Linked DNA regions of Xenopus tropicalis. The protein of the gene in region 4 purifies or fractionates together with the protein of the main gene of each other region. This does not show direct contact. Links are inferred from orthologs where the notes say so. Each region holds a gene or a part of one and is shown on either strand. Other genes may lie near its edges. The genes, in order: snap23, vamp3, snap29, stx6, vamp4 and vamp8.

What was found.
Region 1: the proteins of stx6 (region 4) and snap23 purify together in Homo sapiens (affinity purification with mass spectrometry; 3 studies listed by BioGRID and IntAct, with this or other methods). This does not show direct contact. The link is inferred for Xenopus tropicalis from reciprocal best matches to the Homo sapiens genes STX6 and SNAP23.
Region 2: the proteins of stx6 (region 4) and vamp3 purify together in Homo sapiens (affinity purification with mass spectrometry; 5 studies listed by BioGRID and IntAct, counting the BioPlex papers as one, with this or other methods). This does not show direct contact. The link is inferred for Xenopus tropicalis from reciprocal best matches to the Homo sapiens genes STX6 and VAMP3.
Region 3: the proteins of stx6 (region 4) and snap29 purify together in Homo sapiens (co-immunoprecipitation; 3 studies listed by BioGRID and IntAct, counting the BioPlex papers as one, with this or other methods). This does not show direct contact. The link is inferred for Xenopus tropicalis from reciprocal best matches to the Homo sapiens genes STX6 and SNAP29.
Region 5: the proteins of stx6 (region 4) and vamp4 purify together in Homo sapiens (co-immunoprecipitation; 5 studies listed by BioGRID and IntAct, counting the BioPlex papers as one, with this or other methods). This does not show direct contact. The link is inferred for Xenopus tropicalis from reciprocal best matches to the Homo sapiens genes STX6 and VAMP4.
Region 6: the proteins of stx6 (region 4) and vamp8 purify together in Homo sapiens (affinity purification with mass spectrometry; 3 studies listed by BioGRID and IntAct, counting the BioPlex papers as one, with this or other methods). This does not show direct contact. The link is inferred for Xenopus tropicalis from reciprocal best matches to the Homo sapiens genes STX6 and VAMP8.

The regions. Positions count from the first base shown.
Region 1 is NC_030684.2:105,560,974-105,563,556, forward strand, and holds part of snap23 (synaptosomal-associated protein 23), read right to left. Parts: intron 1,836-2,583; coding exon 1,692-1,835; intron 1-1,691. UniProt on the Homo sapiens protein: Essential component of the high affinity receptor for the general membrane fusion machinery and an important regulator of transport vesicle docking and fusion.
Region 2 is NC_030683.2:101,173,481-101,177,700, reverse strand, and holds the start of vamp3 (vesicle-associated membrane protein 3), read right to left. Parts: upstream 2,801-4,220; 5' UTR 2,756-2,800; coding exon 2,754-2,755; intron 1-2,753. UniProt on the Homo sapiens protein: SNARE involved in vesicular transport from the late endosomes to the trans-Golgi network.
Region 3 is NC_030677.2:153,633,264-153,635,440, forward strand, and holds the end of snap29 (synaptosomal-associated protein 29), read right to left. Parts: intron 1,297-2,177; coding exon 1,136-1,296; 3' UTR 501-1,135; downstream 1-500. UniProt on the Homo sapiens protein: SNAREs, soluble N-ethylmaleimide-sensitive factor-attachment protein receptors, are essential proteins for fusion of cellular membranes.
Region 4 is NC_030680.2:100,858,217-100,861,716, reverse strand, and holds part of stx6 (syntaxin-6), read right to left. Parts: intron 3,120-3,500; coding exon 3,025-3,119; intron 1,728-3,024; coding exon 1,665-1,727; intron 1,031-1,664; coding exon 908-1,030; intron 35-907; coding exon 1-34. UniProt on the Homo sapiens protein: SNARE promoting movement of transport vesicles to target membranes. Targets endosomes to the trans-Golgi network, and may therefore function in retrograde trafficking.
Region 5 is NC_030680.2:107,501,160-107,505,340, reverse strand, and holds the start of vamp4 (vesicle-associated membrane protein 4), read right to left. Parts: upstream 2,801-4,181; 5' UTR 2,781-2,800; intron 453-2,780; exon of another isoform or gene 347-452; intron 1-346. UniProt on the Homo sapiens protein: Involved in the pathway that functions to remove an inhibitor (probably synaptotagmin-4) of calcium-triggered exocytosis during the maturation of secretory granules.
Region 6 is NC_030679.2:125,658,574-125,662,073, reverse strand, and holds the end of vamp8 (vesicle-associated membrane protein 8), read right to left. Parts: intron 1,294-3,500; coding exon 1,129-1,293; intron 979-1,128; coding exon 835-978; 3' UTR 416-834; downstream 1-415. UniProt on the Homo sapiens protein: SNAREs, soluble N-ethylmaleimide-sensitive factor-attachment protein receptors, are essential proteins for fusion of cellular membranes.

The DNA.
Region 1 (2,583 bases), on a different chromosome or scaffold from region 4:
AGACCTACTGTATTCATTTTAAAGATCAAATATTAATATGAAGAACATGAGGAAGATAAAATGTTGCAAAATGTAAGCCATATGGTGACCTTACAATGTTTCCAGGGCATTTCTGTGTCTTCTGCCTACAGAGATAGGCCCTTTGGAGCTTATAATTATTATTCTTTTATTTAAAAAGTGCCAACATATTTCACTGCACTTTACAGAGATTATACATCACTCACATCAGTGCCCCAGTGGAGCTAGCAGTCAACAATCCCTATTGTTTTAGCATGAAGACACATGGAGCTACTAGCAGCAGCTAGATAATGCTGATCATTTACTGATAACCGTCTGTGTGTCTTCACCCTTAACATACACTACAGCCAATTTTATCAGTAAACAATTAACCAGGAACTTACTCTGCCTGGACAGAAAAAAAAAACCTTTCCCCAGAAATCTATAAAGTGAGACAATGCTCAGGTTGGAATCAAACTTGCAATCCACCCCCCTCCCCCAATACACACAAGTAGCTGTTCATTACCTTACGTAAGATGGCCATACATGCCAAGATTCTCACCCAATGGGAATTTGAAATCAACCCAATAGGTACTAGCAAGATTTTGGTTGAGCGGCCCTCCTAAAGGCTCCGTACGCAGGCCAATAATTTGGCAACTCTATTGCTTTCAGACTTTGGGGGCATAATTCCCAGCAAACTTATATAAACTTCAAAATCTACTGTATTTAGTTGTACATTAATCCTATGAATTCCTTGAATACCTTTAAGATATGCATGTGCCTGAAGGACATCTGGGGCACTTTGCTCAGTTAAAGTTTAGATAGTAATGAGTAAATAGTCACCAATAATAAAGCATGGTTTAAAATATATTTCCCTGTAAAGTATTGGGTTCCTAGCCCAATATTGTGTTTTCTGCATAAAAAAGTGGAAAAAAAACTAAAAGAATGAGATGAGGAGAAAATAAAGAGCAGTAGGATAATAGTTAGTTTGAGACCATCTGTAATTGTTCTATTTTTGTGCTTTTTACTTTTTTCACTGTTAAAGGAACAGTTACGTAAAAACGAAAGTGTTTTAAAGGAGAAAGAAAGGTAAAAACTAAGTAAGCTTTATCAGAAAGGTCTATGTAAATACAGCTATAAGCACTCACAGAAATGCTGCACTGAGTTTTCTGTTAAAATATTAGTTGTGTCTGTTTTCCTATGCCAGAGACACATCGCTCTCTGCTCTCTCCTGCTCCCCCTCCCTCAAGAATGCTAAGAACTCATCCCCCCCCTTAGGAATATGAATCTGAGCCAATCAGCAGGAAGCTGACTCATAACTAACAGAGCATGTTCACTTGGTCTGGGCGTCTGTGCAGGGGTGAGGCATTATGGGAACTTTCTATACACAGCTCAGCATTTTTTCTTCCTGTTTGGCTTCTGATCATCTGAACGGGAGAAATATGGGGAGACTTGAGACAACTGAAGGTATGCCTGCAGCTTGAGATTAACTCTTTATTAGCCTTTCCTTCTCCTTTAAAAGGAAAATAATGGTATTTAGCTATTTTTATGTATTTTCTCTTAAGGACAAACTTTCTAATCTTATCCATTCAAGATATAATCTTAGTACCTTTACATTCCTGCATGGCCAAAATGCAGTAAGGAATACAATTTACTCTATCAAACATTGTATATTCTTTTATATATTCTCTTACCTCTTAATATACGGACCACTCTGTGCCACTCCACCCTGTTGTCCATTTGTTTGATGAGGTTGCTTTGATATCACATTTTCTGAGTCATTGTCTTTACTGCCCCAAGTCTTTTTGTAGTTTTCCCCACTCTCGAAATCCTTTGGCCTACCAAGATGTGAAGTCTGTTAGACAGGATCATTCATTGCTACTGCTATTCAGAAATTGTTAAAAAAACATGACACCAAGATACAAAAAAAAAAAAAAAAATCAGAGGTGCAATATCCCTCTGGAACCAGAAACTTGTATTCAAATAAAAATCAAATTTGAATTTAAAATACGAACCTTCCCTAACCTCCCAGATAGGTTATGTCTCTGGAGAAGGGGGAGACACCCAGAAGTTGGCAGGGGGGAGTAAGGAGACCACAAAAATCATGACAGAATCCATTTATTTATAAATTACATTGTTTACACAGCAAATAATTTACTCTACCATATAAAATGTTATTCTTGTACCAAAACGTTTTTTTTTTTTTTTAGCTGTAATATTGGTGTGTAGGTGCCATCTCAGTGCATTGTGCCTGAGTCTGAGCTTTCAGAAGGAGCCAGCGCTACACATTAGACCTGCTTCCAAGTAACCTTTTGTTTCTCCTATGTAACTGGAGTCATGAATTTGCTGAGCTGGACTTGGATTTTTGCTTTTTAGGGTTATTATACCTACCACTAGGTGGGGCATGGGTGCATTTTTAGCAGCACTATTTGATGCATTTTGAGTAGGAATGCACCAAGATTTGGGAGATTTTTTAAGATAGATTTGGATTTGGCTGAATCCATGCTCCTGGCCGCACCAGTTCCGAATCCTTAAAATCACGTGCCTTTTTGTTACATAAACACGGTAAAAACAAGTTGAAAATTA
Region 2 (4,220 bases), on a different chromosome or scaffold from region 4:
CTGATATAATCAGCCTCTGAGACAGAATGCCTCCCAAACTCCACACACACGCACATCAAATGTAAAAGTGTCTGGGGAGTCATTAGCCCCCAACATCTGAATGGAATTCACCAGAAACTTTGCTGTAAGTTTTGCACTTATTGCTCAAAGGTAAAGACCTTTGAGCAATAAGTGCACATAGTGCAAAACTTACAGTATATTATTAACATTTATTTATAAAGCGCCAACATATTTTGCAGCGCTGTACAATAAGTGGGTTTCATACAATGGACATACAGAGTAACATATAAAGCAATCAATAACTGATACAAGAGGTGAAGAGAGCCCTGCCCAAAAGAGCTTATAATCTACAAATTGTGTATAATTATAATTTTATTACAATATTCTGGTCTGCAGCTGTAGATCATAAGTGAAACAGGCAGCTGCTACACTTTCTCTTCTCCTTAGTGCCAGGGTAATTACTGGGATCTACGTGCAGATCAGCTCCTCTCCTTTTTGGTAAAAATGGGTTTAAAGCTGTTTTATTGCTGCTGGCCCTTCTCTGAGTAAATAATTTGGGTGTAACCCTGGCATTCTCCTCTCTAACAACATACGGTTACATTATATTAATCAGAAGAATCTGAAATAAATGACTTACACAAAAAAAGAGTTCCCAATTGGATTGAGCTATGCTATCAGCAATCTGCAATTCTCTAGAGAAAGAAGGGACCTACTGGGGTCACAAAAAAGTTAATACGTCACCTAAAGGCTACATCCTAATGTTCAGTCAGTTTGGAAGAGATCTGCTACACTGACCAAGTGTATCTATATGGGTTATAATCTGGATACTTAAAGGAACAGCAACACCAAAAAAATGAAATTGTATAAAAGTAACTAAAATATAATGTGCTGCTGCCCTGCACTGGTAAAAGCTGTGTGTTTACTTCAGAAAGTCTACTATAATTTATATAAATAAGCTGCTATGTAGCCATGGGGGCAGCCATTCAAAAGAGAAAAGGCACAGGCACATAGCAGATAACAGATAAAACTTATCTGTTATCTGCTATGTAACCTGTGCCTTTTCTCCTTTTTTCCAGCTTGAATGGCTGCCCCCATGGCTACACAGCAGCTTATTATATAAATTATAGTAGTGTTACTGTAGCAAACACACCAGTTTTACCAGTGCAGGGCAACAGTGCATTATATTTTTATTACTTTAAAGCTCTTTCATTTTTTGGTGTTACTGTTCCTTTAAGGGTGAAGACACAATGGGCAACTAGTACCAGCTACTTTGTAAAGGCTACTAAACTCCAGAAAATACCCTAATGCCCTAACACATGTAGAGATAACTATCAGTAAATGATCAGCAGCCTTTTTTAGTAGCCATGACAAGTAGCTGCTACTAGTAGCTCTGTGTGTCTTCACCCTAAATAGTATTACCTAACTGTAACAAGTTCCTTATTATGATTCTTAGACCAATATCTGATAAATTTGCTGGTTGCCACTTCCCATAGTAATGTATTAGAAATCCTCAGCCTATGCAGCCATCACAAGGGTGATTTCCTCTGGTTGCTATGGGAGGCAGGCGTGGGTGATTTCAGGGGCTTAAACCCCCACCAGGATACAATGGTGGTCAAAACCTACCCTGTGACATGTAGCAAATGCACTTGAAATGAAACCTATCTGCTGATGAAATTCACCCAATCTGAACAACATAAATTCCGTAAAACAACAATGTGCTGCAGCAGAACATTCACATTAAGAACCATTTCTTAAAATGAGTCAAGACTTGTGAAGCAGTAAATACAAATGCGAGCCATTAAGTCTATTTTGAGTTCTAACAGAAGTCATATTATGTAATGTAACAACAAGCTGTTATTGTACTACAACTCCCATCCCATTAGATGCTAGGAGTCAGTGTCGGACTTGGGATGCTAAAAGCCCACCAGAAAACCTTAGACCAGGGATCCCCAACCTTTCTAACTCGTGAGCAACAGTCAAATGTAAAAAGACTTGGAGAGCAACACAAGCACCATAAAGTTCATGGAGGAGCCAAATAAGGGTTATTAGGTAGCCTCTATGCACACTATCAGCTTACAGGGGCTTTATTTGGTAGTAAATCTTGTTTTTATTCAACCAAAACTTGCCCCCAAGTCAGGAATTCAAACATAACTCCCTGGTTTGGGGTCACTGAGAGCAACACCCAAGGGGTTGGGGAGCAACATGTTGCCCCTGAGCCACTGGTTGGGGATCACTGCCTTAGACCATGGGGCCACCCTCCAAATTATTTTTCATCCATTTCTTATCTCTATATATTCCAAGTTATTTTTCTTTATCTTTACAGACTATAATCTATTTTTCTATATATTTAGTTGCTTTGTTCCCTTATAGAAAAATAAGTAAGGACCCTGAATTAGGCCAAATGGCTAGAAGCAGGAGGGCCCCTGGGAATTCTCCCGGTATCCCTGTGGGCCAGTCCGACACTGCTAGGAGTTCAGAAAGCAGACTGAAACATTACACGCCTATTGTAATTGTATTTACCCTTTAAAGCCATAGGGCACTTGTGTCCCCTGTCAAACACCCCTATAAGCCTATGCACAAACTTCTCGGCCGAACTAAATACAACTTTGTACGGACAAAATAGCACATTCTGCGCCCAAACTCTACGCCTCACAGGCCCCGCTCGGTAGCGCAGGGCTAAGGGCGGATACCGGGCAGGGCGTTCCCCGCAACTTGTAAAGGCAGCCCCCCCCAAGCACTACTGGCACACTTACATTTTGACAGGCTAGATACTGCAGGACACCGGTCCGACTTTACTCCGCTGGGCGTTTTTGCCTTGTGTAGCCGCAATCCCGTAGAGTTCCGCTGCCGGGAGAGGTGTGGCCAGCGCAACTCAGGGCGTGGCCAGCATCAATGACGTCAGGTGCAGCGCTGTCAGCTGAGCAGCAGGTCACGTGTGTGGCACAGCCGCTCCCGGTTTTGTCTTGTTAAATTGTCCCTCGGGGAACGGCGGAAACCGCTGCGATATTCCCGCCAATGAACTGGCATGGGGGCTTGGCGTGCGAAATTCCACACGCAAGGGTTATGTTCAGAATAGTGTGAGGCGGCGGGGGGCCCTAGGCGTGTCGGGCAGTCTAATGTGTTTCTTGCTGCGACATTAGGGGAACGCTTCTAAAGTTTAACTAGAGAGTATTCAGCCTGGGCACACAGCCTCCCTGGGGCCCCTTTGGTATAAATGGTAGCTGAGAACATTGCACTTATAGCTATGCAGCCTGCAGCGCAGTAACAGAAATAATCATTTACCTCAGTAGTCAAATAAAGCTTACAAACTAAATCCATATGGAATTCTTACAACACCGTTATATAAACCTGACCAGGAGACGAGTTATTCTTTTAATAACATTGGCCAAGCTGCGGACTAAAATGTTTTGAGGTTAAGGAAGAAATAAAACAATATAAATATGTATATAGACTGCAACTATTTGCAGGTTAAATTAATTTAATTATTATAACCAGCTTCCCCAAGTAAACAGGTGTCCTGTCCCATGGCCTGGAGAGCCCCCACCCACTCTCCTCTGCAGTAGGTTCCACACAAAGTTTGCCATGGGTGGGCCTGGACTAGCCACGCCTCCTAGGAAGGAAGAGGGGAATTGTAGGTGATTTTTGGGGAGGGGAAGTTTGGATAGGAAAGATATCAGGTGGTTGGTAGAAAAGATATTAGCAATTCTATAAAGGTGGCCATGCACCTTAAAGCTGCCAATTCGGGTTCTTCACAGTAATTCGCCATCTTATCTGTCAATGTATGGGGCCCTCTGACAGGCATCCCCAACCAATAGCTGCCCAAAAATCGTCCAGATGACGATCGGATGGTGCAGGCTTGACTTTTTGTATCCCTTTCATGTTATAGTTTGGCCTTAAGCTGGCCATACACGCACCGAAACCTTGTTTCGTACGATATTCGGTGCGTGTATGGCATGTCGGCAAGTCGACCGATATCGCAGGAAGCTGCTGATATCGGACGACTCGCCGATTGGCCAGGTTAGAAAATTTTGATCGGGCGCCATAGAAGGCGCCTGACCAAAATCTGCCGTCAGGGCTGAATCGGCAGAAGGAGGTAGAAATCCTATTGTTTCTACCTCCTTATCTGCTGTTTCAGCCCTGACGGTGTGTGGCGGATCTGACAATGTTTCGCATGAAACATCGTCAGATCGCCACGTGTATGGCCAGCTTTAGGGCTCTGG
Region 3 (2,177 bases), on a different chromosome or scaffold from region 4:
TAGGTAAAAATGCTGCTGTACAAGATTATTGTGCTACTTCTCAGTCTAGTATGCAAAGTGGCCTTTTTAAACACGCCCTCAAACATATATGCATTTGACAGTGAAACACAGGCTCAGATGTTATCATAGCTTGTACTGCTTAAAGATATACAGTATATATGTTAATGTACAGCTACTAAAAAGCTAGGCACATTTGCCTTCAACAGCTGCTATAAATTCTTTACCACTGATTTTATCTGAAGCACATGTGCCCCGTTTTGATTATGATTACAACTTTGTAATTGATAGTTACAAGGGTGCATGGTGTTATTGCTCATGTAATATTTTACACAGCTTTAAAATATGCCCAAGTGTGCTAATAATACAAAAGGGGAAATAAGGATTACTATGTCCAAAACATTTAATAAGTATAAGGGAGTATGAATAAATTATCTGAAATGTCAGGCAGAGAAACAAGTCTACAGACTCAAATTTGTCTAAAGAAGACAAATGGCACAAAATCAGAAAGCAAATAATATATTAAACAAGTTAGTTAAAATAATAACAGGCAAGATTATTAGGCTTTTTTTTTTAACTTAACAAGTAAACTGATAAAATATTCACAGTATGGTTTACGGGAGTGTCACATAAATTTATAAACATATTTATACACAAAGTTTCAGAACACTAGATTAAAATAATAAGGGTAATAAGAAAGTGGCATATGGCAGGGCCCATTAAACCCTATGTTACGAGCATGTGTAAAATATTGCAGTTTTAATAAAGGCATGTTCATATGTCTATTCTGTCATATAGCAGTAAGGTAATACCTAGCAAATGAACTCAAATACTTTATTCAGATCCAGAGCTATAACAAACTGCCAATCACTACAATACAATTCCAATAGTAAGACAATTCATTTTTATATCTTAATAAGGATCTATATTAGTAATAATACTGCAAAACATCATCTACATTTAATGCTAACGAATGTAATGTATAGTTATACAGAAGATATAAGATTCAGATAGGGATGTGTGGGATATTTATGTCCCAGTATAAAAAAAAACAAAAAAAAAAAAAACTGCATAACATTATAAAAACCACAAGAATAAAACTCAAGAGTCGGTCTTGGTCAAGTCTGAAATTTGTCTTTTATAGCTCTTCGCGAATCCGCTTGTCTGTAGTCTTGATGTTTAAGTCCATCTTATCTACTTTGCCAGTTAGGCGCCCAAGCATCTCATCCTGGTCATCGATTTCTGTCTGAAGTCCTAGTGCAAGGTTTTTCAGGCGACCCAAACCTAAAGACATGTCATCTGGAAGAAAGGAATAACACAACCTTAGGATTAGTATTATTATTTTTAAAATGCAGCAATATTAGTAGGTATGGAAAAAAAAAATACGGTGTATGGGTTACACCTTGTCATTTAGCTTTAACCAGGTCATCTATAAATGGTAGCCTTGATGCCTAGAATCAGTCATTAAAATCTGTTGGGAGCCTATTTCTTTCCCAATAGATTCTTAATGTGATTAGTTGGTTGGTAATTAGAGTCGCAATCCTCCAAACTGTTTATGAAAGATATGCCAAAACAGGAAGTATTTGTTAAGAGATACTGACACCAGAAATGAAATTATTTTTACATCTGTCATAACATTGTCTTTGCATGCTATTTATAATTTTGCCATAAAAGTATTTGTCCAAGCTTTTACATTCCCTATCTGATCCCCCATGTTCCTCTATGAGGGGGCGGCCATATTTGTCCAGCAGGAGGCCGTTAGCATTAGAAGCTATAACTGACAGGCTGAGAAGGGACAGTCAGGCTGGCAAAACAGTCAGGTTTTGGGATTTCAAGTAACAATTACTTACAAAAGCAGCCCTATCAGTAAAAAATGATCAACACGACCTATAGGCAACTTTTTATGTAGATTTATATTTTAAAAAGTTTTTTTTTCGTGTCAGTATCACTTTAGCAGTCATAATGGTTTTGTAGACAGGCCAAAGGGGTATTTGAAGAGCAGCTCTCTTATTATTTCACTCCCAGTCTTATACCACACAAATCCTTTCAGTGTTATTATGTAAAAAGACACTGGGTTACCCCATTAGGGCAAAGGCACACATTTCAGTAATTTAAAAAGCAATTGTAATACTGATAATAGTAAATGTAGGATTGGTAGTTAATGATCCTCAGAGCCTATA
Region 4 (3,500 bases):
GCTCCAGCTGCTCATCTTGCTGCTCCATAATCAGCTAAGAAAAAAAATGTAAATCACAAGGATATATCATGAGGCATTTACAGCCTTTATATGTGGCTTGTGGCTTTTCAAACATTGGCAAGTGTCTTATAATGGTTCCTAAGCAACAGTGCTTTGTTTAATGAAAAAATCTTTCCTGTATCTTTAGCAGCATTGGAAATGCAGACACACAGACTGAGTAATGTTGCACAGGTTGTATATCTGTGGTCTTACACTGAATCACAGTATTCCTAACAATGCTACAAACTGTCTTGGTAACATTGTTTCAGCTGCATTATACTATTAAACAGTTATGCCTTATCATAACCATAGGACTAACCAAAAGTTATCTTAAAGGAGAAGGAAAGGCTAAGTCACTTGGGGGTGCCAAAATGTTAGGCACCCCCAAGTGACTTACATGACCTACCTTGTACCCCGGGGCACCTGAAGACACCGTTTCCTCCTTCCTTTGCGCGCTGCTGGCGAAATCCGTGGGCCGGCGCATGCACAGTAGAGTGAAAAGCCGACTTTAATGTTTAAGTTCGGCTTTTCACTCTACTGCGCATGCGCGCGCAAGCGAGGAGGAAGCAGGTAGCGCCGGCAGCTGCCCCGGGCTGGTGCTGTTCTCTCCGTACGGGGGCACCAGCCCGGTGTACAAGGTAGGCGTTCTAAGTCACTTGGGGGTGCCTAACATTTTGGCACCCCCAAGTGACTTAGCCTTTCCTTCTCCTTTAAATAAAAGCAGAAGTGTATGAAACAAAATAGTCAACATCACTGAGCCGAGACTGACCTGTCATCAGTTTTTCTTTTTTTTTTTTTAAATAATAACGACAAGTTCCTATCCCTTTCTATAATAAGATAAAAGTGAGTCTTTAATTAAATAAATTACCTGCTGCTGCCCAACCTGACCATCTAAAAACTGGGAGTTTGCATTCTCGAGTTCTTGGTCCAAAGCTTTGTATTTTTCTGTTTCAAGATTCCAGCCATGCTTTGTTCCCTCCCCTAAAAGGGCCTGAAAGAGAAAGCTATATAAATGCTGTGCAAGTTTTAGCAATAGAAACATTATCACTGAAAAAATATTTTATGAGGCTTAAACAACATGTATTATTTCAGAAGGTAGAGAAGATTTAGAAAAAAAATGACAAAAAAAATAACCCTGAAAACATATATAGCATAAATACCTGTTTTCATTATTTTTGCTTTCTTTCCAATATAGCAGTTTTGTCATGCTATACTTTACTATACACTCAGCGGCAAGTCAGAGCCGGGTTCCCCTGCAAAAAAAATCTTCTGAGGGGCCCAGTGCACAGCTGTTCAGTGCAACAAACCTTTATCCCTCCTGCCCCTGTCCCCGCTCCCCTTCCGCAAAGTGCAGCTGGGGAGGGGGGATTTTTTAAAACAATTTTTAAAATTTAATCTCAAACTATAGAGGAACCAGACCCAGTGATCCGGGTCGCCCCACGACTACGGGGGCTGTCTTGTCTATAGTTACAGCAGTGGCTAGACTTCAGGGTGGTCCTAGTTCTTATCTAAAACGAACTGTTTACATCACAGCAGAATTTTGTATATGTATCAGGATTAATTAGCAAAGTAATAGAAACAACACAGTGGCGGTTTTAATATATGTTATTTGTGAACACCCTTACCTGTCTGTTCTTTTTCTCAGTCAGTGCTTGAACAGAAGGGCTTGTCATCCTATCCTTCATGTCCTGTGCAGATAAAGCATTTTCATATAGAAAGTTAAAACTGAAACCATTACTTTCATTTAAAGTATTCTTCAAGACTTCCACTCCTCCTGGACTTCAACCAGCATTGCCTAGAACAGGGATCCCAAACCTTTCTTACTCGTGAGCCACAGTCAAATGTAAAAAGACTTGGAGAGCAACAGAAGCATCACAAAAGTTCATGGAGGTGCTGAATAAGGGCTAAGATTGGCTATTAGGCAGCCTCTATGCACACTATCAGCTTACAGGAGGCTTTATTTGGTAGTAAGTCTTGTTTTTACTCAACCAAAACTTGCCATCGAGTCAGGAATTCAAAAATAACTACCTGGTTTGGGGGCACTGAGAGCAACATCCAAGGGGTTGGTGAGCAACATGTGGCTCACGAACCACTGGCCTAGAAAATGCTGATTTCAGTAAAGTATTGCCAAACATTGTATAGGAATTCCGACCGTTGTGATTATCCTTATTTATTTATTTTTTTAAAGTTTTTTCAACAAGCATTAATTACAACAAGAAGGTTAGATAAAGAGAAGAAGGAAGAAAGGAAGGAGGGGGGGGGGGGGCAACATACAGGTAGAATGCCAGACAGGGAGAAATGTTTGAGAGGATATCTTTTTTAGCATAATAAATCAGCTGCAAGGAGCACAGTTTCTCATACTGAGGTTGCCAGTTATACCCAGTAAATACCCAGTATAGTAAAGGCAATATGTTGGGAAATGCAAGTGTATGCTTATATATGCCAGTATTTCAAGCCAGAAGGTACATATGACTAGACACTCCCAAAACACATGGAACATTGAGACAACATAATTTTGCCATTTAGGACAGAGGTCCCCTGAATTATTTTGGACAGTCTCTGCGTGGCCAAGTAGTCTCTATGAATAAACTTAATTTGGAGTTTAAATCTAGTGAGTTGGGCCAATCAAGTGCCTCTTCGCACATCTCCAAATCCAGTATATTTTCTGTCCATTTATCCTTTATATATTAAGAAACACATTGCTTACTAAGATCAGTTGAGTGTAACTTCCATGCATACATACATCTACATCACAGGACAAATACACCAAAAGTTATATTTTTATTGTGCAGAAGGAAACCCAAGCACCCAGAGGATACCCACATGTGATCTGTTGTAAATAAATACAACGGTTGGGATAAAAGTGATTCAATCCAAACAGCTGAAATCAACACTACCCGCTCTTGGCATAATGCACAATTAACTAATGCTATTGAGAATCTTGCAAAACTAACAGAAAAACACAAGAACCCAGTCTAATCATACCTTGACACACTGACGAGTTTCACTGATGAAGGCTTTCCTTTGTCTCAGTTCAGCTGGATCCAGACTAAACTTTCGTGGATTGGACTCCACAATACATGAGGAAGAGTAAAGGAAAATTTTGTACCAAGAAAAGGTGATATAAAAAATTATAAAGGCTACATTCCAGACTGTTGTTGAAGCCACCTTTTCAGGTGCAACATTTGCTCAGACCCAATCTTGGTTCATAAAACCAGTAAAATATATGAAAGCAACATTGTAACCATCACTGAGCTATAATGTTAGGACAGCATATTTGCATTCTTCACAAACGTTGCCCTAACTGTCCATCAGACTGTGTTTCTTATGCAACACTATGAGCCCATCTGGTGAAGCCATCCCTAGTCTGGGATCCTCTGTTTAAATAAATGGGGCCACTTCTTGTAATGAAAAAAAAGGGTCATGCCAAAATGTAATCAGCTAAACCCATATGGAAGTAT
Region 5 (4,181 bases), about 6.6 Mb from region 4:
CCCACAACATGTGATTACCTTTAAGAAAAAAACCCCAAAATTAAGGAATTGGCGCATTCTAGGGTAAACATTATGCCCATGTAATCTGGAGGTATTATTTATTACATTTGGACTTGAGAAGTTTTACAGAAATGTTATGCACTGACAAACTAGTGATTTTTTTTTCTTGCTGAAATTAAGGGCTGAGAACTTTAGTTCCCATGCACACATATACAGGTTATTTCTACATAATTTCCAATTAACTATTATAGGACAAAGAATCTGCACAGTGATGGAAACCTTTGTGCACTGGGCAGGATTGCTTAACATGCATGATATATAAGCATTTTTGGAATAACTGTCTCACCTTTTCGAAAGGGAAATACTGGCATTTATATGGTTATTTTATTGGCTGAAACAGATAATTCTCCATGGTTTAAAGGAATGTCTGATGAAGAGACCCAGCTGCCCCTAAAACCTGGTCAATAAATATAAAACAAAGAGCTGCTTTTTTCTTTCTCAACCAACTAGGTTTGAAATTAAAAATACAAGCTGCCAATAATAAACTGCCAGGGACACAAAATAATAAAGATAATAAGTCTTAAGTCTTGGCTAATATTTGGCATATAAAGAAAAAAGCAGACTAAACTGCCAGTTACATAAAAAGAAATGAAAATATTCACATATACATTTCCTTCCAGAGCTAACAACCCCCCCCCCCCCCACCCCACCCCATTACACCATGATTCTGCATTTACAAGGAAAAAGAACACAATGTAGAATTATACACAGGGGCAAGAACATAGCTGCGAGTTCAGCAAAAACCTAAAAAATAATTCTTGCATTCTACTGTTCAAAAATGTATTACCCGAGGCTCTGTCCTGTTCTGCTCTGCTCTGGAGCTGGTGCTAAGGAAAGGGGCCTATAAAAGCTATTTTTCTCTGTACTGCATTTTCGGCGCCTGAATAAGGTGCTACCGCAATTATGAACATTAAGGGCCTTAAGTTTGCCTTGAGAGGAAACTTCCGCAATTTTGGGAAATTGCGGCACCGCATATGCCATACCACCGGCGATTGACATTTAAGCCGATGGGGTGGCATATCGGGGTGATTAGTCGCCCGCGACAAGGGAGATTTGTTGCAGGCGAATAATCTCCCCGTCTGCCACGGCCCTAAAGGAGAAGGAAAGTTACAATCACTTGGGGGTGCCAAAATGTTAGGCAGCCCCCCTCCCCTCAGTGACTTCAATCGCTTACTTGAAACCCCCAGCCGGTGCTCCTGTTTGGAGAAAACTGCAGTGGCCAGGGTGTATGCGAGCGAGCGTTCCTTCTTCTTTGCACATGTGCAGTAGAGTAAAAAGCCGGCTTTAACAAAATAGCTGGCTTTTTCATTCAACTGAGCATGCTTCGGCCCCTGGATTCCGAAGAAAGAAGATAAAAGGAAAAGGAACACTCGCTCACATATACCCAAGGCCACTGCAGTTTTCTCCAAACAGGAGCACCGGCTGGGGTATCAGGTAAATGATTACAATCAATGGGGGTGCCTAACATTTTATTTATCTCCATCCCATCCAGACACACTCCAATAATTCTGAAGTATCCAGCCGGATGCTTACTATATACAGTCACAATACAAAAGCACTTATTTTTGCATGTTATTTAAGTAATCCAGTGAAGTTAAAGAGTGATTCACCTCAAGTTAACTTTTATTATGTTATAAAATGATCAATACTTGGCAACTTTTCAGCTGGTCTTCATTTGTTATTTTGTATCGTTTTTGAATTATTTGGCTTCTTCTTCTAAAGCTTCCAAATGGGGGTCACTGACCAGGTCTGATCTGGGATTCAAAATAGGCCTGGCCAATTCAAGTACACAAAAGGCCCAAACAGCCCCCACCAGCCCAATAGTGACTGTCTATGGTATCTTACAGCAGCCCCTCTGGAATTTACCAGAATCCACATATCGTCAGTCCGGGCCTGTCACTGACCCTGTCTGTCAAAAACTATTGCTCTGTGAGGCTACAATTTTATTGTCATTCTCTTCATTACTTATCTTCCTAGTTACGTTCTCTCCTGTTCATATTCCAGTCTCTAATTCAAACCACTGCCTGGTTACTAGGGTAACTAAGATCAAAGCAACCAGATAGGTGCTGAAACTCCAAACTGAAGAGTTGCTTCGCAAAAAGCAAATTAATTAAAAAACCGTAAATAATAAAAATTAAGACCAAATGCAAATATAAATCTCCACGTCATACTTAAAAGTTAATTTTAAGGTGAACAACCCCTTTAAAAGTTCTACGTGTTCCAATCTATACAAAGTTGTCATCAAGATCATCCTTATGACAGTCAATGAGACTATATATGTACCCTCTATTGTACATGATAAAGATATCAGAGGTTATGGGAGGTTTCATGACCATATAGTGGCACAACGCAGCAAGACACAAATTTTAGAACTAAGCACTGATTATCACTATCAATTTACTGGATATTCATGGCTTGAGTACTGTGTGTGTGTATAATATATATATATATTATATATATACATACATACACACACACATAGAAGATAAATTAACAAGTAAAGCAATAGGTGGCCATAAGTGTGTAGCAATTCGTATTTAGTACAGTAACACAAACACTGGGATTTGTAAAGAGGAACCACTGACAAGAAGACAATAAGACCGAGCCATCTTCCTCACCGCCTGTGACTGTCACAAGACAAACTGGCAGCTGTAATATATTCGGACGGTTCACTATTGGGGGAATCCCTCCCAACTAGAGCCGATGCGGCAGACCTGTACCTGTTCGGATGAGACTCCAGCGATGCTCAGCTCTAAGCTTATTCACTGGCTAACATGGCGCTCCAGCTGACTGTAAACCATCCATCGCTCGAAACGCGATTCACCGTCCTGTTCCCTTTAACCCTCTGAATGATCTAGAGTTCGGCGTTCTCACAATGCGCAAGCGCACTGGCACAGTGTGAAGCCAGCCTGCCAGCACCATTGTAGGACTGAAATTAATGATTTGACGTTGTTTGTATTCATTAACGCCGTACAAAATGTTTTTTTAAGTATTAATTACATCTTTTAAGATGAAATAGAGACATTAAAGAAATGTTGTCATTATTTTTAGTATTGAACAAATATTTGCTCTTTCATTTTATTTTAAATTGTCTCTTTCTTAGGCTAATATCCCATGGGGAGATTTAGTCGCTGTGATTTTTAAAAAGTGAGTCGCTTTTAACAAGTCACTTGTCTTTTCCTAACAAGCGATTACAACAATGGAGCAATTCTATTTCCCACAAATCCAAGTGTCATATTCCACAATTAGAAATTATATTCAGTGCAATGGGGAAATCGCAGCAGCTTCCATCAGTGGGTTTTACTTTCAGCGATTCCAGTAGTTTTTAATGACATTGCTTTCTTTGTAAAATCACTCAAAAAAGGGTCTCATATCGATTCAGAGCGTTAAGCGATTTGAAGTAGTATCGTCTTCGTTGTCGTGGGCAACTAATCTCCCCACAGTGCCATCCCACCCATTCTAGCCGGTGGGATGGCATTGTGGGGAGATTAGTCGCCCGCGACAACAAAGATTTGTCGCGGGGTGACTAATCTCCCCAAGTACCACTGCCCTTATACTGTAGAGTAGACATTTACATAGATAGGGTTTATTGGTCCCTTTGTAGGGCACTTACTCCTAGTGCAAGGTTATGTGTTTGCTTGTGTGTATTTATAACACCTTGGGGCACATTTACTAATCCACGAACGTCCGAAAAGCGTCCGAATGCTTTTTTTCGTAATGATCGGTATTTTGCAATTTTTTTCGTAAGTTGTCACGACTTTTTCGTAGCCGTTATGACTTTTTCGCAAATTGTCGCGACTTTTTCGTAGCGTTACGACTTGCGTGAATTGTTGCGATTTTTCGTAGCCGTTGCGCCGAGTACGAAAGTTTCGGATTCATTCAAGCTTCAGTATCGTGACTTTCCTTGGGTCGGGTTGGAGCTGCAGAGTGCCATTGAGCCCTATGGGAGACTTTCCTTGGGCCAGGTTGGAGCTGCAGAGTGCCATTGAGTCCTATGGGAGACTTTCCTTGGGCCGGGTTGGAGCTGCAGAGTGCCATTGAGCCCTATGGGAGACTTTCCTTGGGCCAGGTTGGAGCTGCAGAGTGCCATTGAGTCCTATGGGAGGCTTTCCTTGGGCCAG
Region 6 (3,500 bases), on a different chromosome or scaffold from region 4:
TACGGAAAAAGAATTTACCGAGCCTCAAATGACTACTACGAGCAAGTAATAATAACAACATATTAAGACTCTAGAACCCAACTGATAATAAGAGAATGCATATTATAGCTAGTTAGATACAATCTACCCTTATATACAAAAGAGACATGTCCCCTACAGTGGCATTATAGATAAACTGTTAATTCAGATTTCCCAGAAATTTCTGCAAACAAATTCAAACAGAAGCAACTCTAAGTAGCCGAGAGGGGTTGATCAACAATGTGTACACCAGTGAATGAGCAGGATTCCCATATCAGATTATACACTGGGTGGCAGCAATGTATCATTTGGGGCTTAAACTAATGAATAAAGGCAAGAATGCAAAACATGCATGGGTTTAAAAAAAAATAATTGGTGAAAGTGTAGAAGTGGTAGATATTACACTTTTATCTAGTCCATAACGGTAATGGTGTACAATGGTAATGGTGTACAATGAGTACAAGAACTTAACCAAAAACATATCACCGGAAACAAAGTGGGAAATGGGCTGCAAGTAGGAATGAAATAATATACCTAGATATTTTTATTTGCCATATTGAGAATCAAACCTTTATGTGTAGGAAGAAAATATACACTCATTTGGTATGCAGACCCCACTGGATCTAGGTGTGACCTGAAACAGGCCAACACATAAGGAGAAAATGAATGTAGCCAATCAGAGGCATCCAAAGTATAACAACACAAGTCTGATTGGCCTCTCTCCATTGGCTTGAGGAGAGCTCATCAGGCAGGAGTAAGTGAAAGGTAATCATGAGTCCTCATTGGCAGAGCAGCCTGGTTGGCGAGTGACAATCTTTATGTGGGGATGACTCCAGTGGCGAGGAGGATGATGAGGAGTACAATAATTCCAACCACCACGCAGATTATGGCAATCATCTTTGCGTTTTTCCACCAGTACTTGCGGGCAACCTTCTGGGAAGTGGTCTTGAAGTGTTCAGACTGGGTGAAAGGAACAGACAAAACAAGGTGAGGCAGTGATAGAGCGAGTACAGAGAAGGATGATGGGCAGAATAACAGTGTAGGTAGTGGAGAACTAAGATGGGGCTGGAGAGGGATTTAGATGGGATGCCTATGGCTATGGGCACTTACGCTAGCTTCCAGGTCTTCTGTTTTGTTCCTTAGATGATCCAGATTCTCTCCCCGTGCCAGAATTCGCTCCACATTTTGGGACATGATTCCCTTTACGTCGTCCACCTGACTCTGGAGATCCCTCACGCGTTCAGGGGCCGCTGGGGCATTTGCCCCTCCCATATCCTGCCAAAGTAATCAATAATGAAATAGGGGCAGAAATCTGCAAAGACCCAGGATACAGAATCACACATGCTGCCACTCTTTTACAGTTAATAGGCAAAAAATAATCAGTAGAATTTGTTTTCCCTATAATGCTGTAAGAGCTGTGGCACATGTATGGTTAAGGTCAGCCATACAATTCCACAGAAATGGGATACCCTGCAAGAAGCTGGCCAGACATAAGATCCGCTTGTTTCTTTCCCCGATATGCCCACCTGTGTTTCTTTTGATAGAGGACTCAGAGCAGCATTACTATAAGTGATATGGCTGTATTTACGTAGACCTTTCTGATAAAGGTTTCTTTAAAAATCCTGATTAAGTTTTTACCTTTCTTTCTCCTTTAGGGCTCTGGCACACGGGGAGATTAGTCGCCCGCGACAAAACTCCCTGTTCGCGGGCGACTAATCTCCCCGGATTGCCATCCCACCGGCAAAAATGTAAATCGCCAGTGGGATGGCAAACGCAGCGGCACGATTTCAGTGAAATCGCGCAAGTTGCCTCGAGAGGAAACTTGCGCGATTAAATCGCGCCGCCGCGTATGCCATCCCAGCGGCGATTTACATTTTCGCCGGTGGGATGGCATTTCGGGGAGATTAGTCACCCGAGACACAGGAGATTTGTCGTGGGCGACTAATCTCCCCGTGTGCCAGAGCCCTTAACATTAAACTAAGCTTTATATTCTGCAGCCTCTCCACTTTAGCATTTTAGCCGCTACCTGCTTGCTAGGGCCTAATTTACCCTAGCAACCAGACAGTGGCTTGAATAAAAGAGCGTAAAATAAATTGGAGAGGGCCAGAACAGAATGATAAGTTATAAAGTAACAATAACAATTGTATAACAATACTAGTTTAACCTCACAGAGCAATAGTTTTTTTGGCGCCGGGTTCTGTGACCGGTAGATTGGATTTTTAACTGTAGCTGAACAGAAAGAAGTAAAGAAGCTAAGACATTTGGATGACCGTGGATGGGATTTTCTTTTTTGTTAAAGTATGTGCACATAATGTCAATGCTGAGAAGGGGAACTCTGAATTACATCAAGCACTATGGCGAAAATGTTTCATCCTGGAAGTGACACCAATACACATGCTTACAGACTGGCCTAAAGCCTGCTTAACGCTCACTCAGCATACACACTATCTCCACTGACTCCACTGATTCTAACACACGTATGTGCAGTAAGCATTTGCTTAAAACGGGACAGGAGCCCGGGGGCCATTTCTGGCACAAAACAAGAATAGGAAGCCAGCTTCACTTTGGCACTTCCTGAGGCTTTCTGATCCCAATGAACTTCAAAAGGAGTTGATAAAACTAATTACCAGCCCACTGAAAAGCCCTGCATAATAAGCTGTTTTAAAGGCTGCTGCTTAGAGAAGGGAAGGATTTGTTTGCTCAAAAGTAGTTAGGAAGATCTAAACAAACTGCCCTGTTTATAAAGCAAGTGAGGGTAAGTTCAATGAAAATTTGTTTTTATATTGGCAAAAAATACAGATTTTTTAAATTAAAAAACACGCAGAATTTTTTTTAAACACAACTTGGTTTTTGGTGTATACGCTCCCCAGTCCCAATAAACTTAAAGGACCATTGTTTTTTTTTCAATCCAAATTAAATATGTAAGTATAAATAAAACTTTAAGGTGAATCAGCCCTTTAAATTGGCTTGGTGTGCTGTAACAACTCCCTGCCAAGAGCTCCGAGCATCCAACCCCACAAACCGCTGTGACTTCCTGATCACTGCATGGCCGGTATTTCCCATGAGATATATCCTCAAACCTTCGCCACACATACCAAACCTTCCATAGCTCAGATGCTAATGCATTGCTAATGCCAATGCTATTTACTGTGACCTCATCAAAACAGAACGCCTTTATTTCTTTGTCCTTTATCCACCACGGCAGACTTTGTTGCTCCAACATATCATTATAGTTTGCAACTAAACAATTCTAGCGCTGCCATTTAGGCTGGTGGCACATGAAAAATTCTCTACCAGGTAAGAAGAAGATTCTGCCACCTCCAATTCACTTCTTTGAGAAATGCATGACAACATTAGTACACAGAATTTTTGGGCCCAAAGACGCACAGAAGCGCTAGCACCACAGACGTCATACACTCTATAACAACAGGGATCCCCAACCTTTTTTACCCCTGAGCCACATTCAAATGTAAAAAGATTTG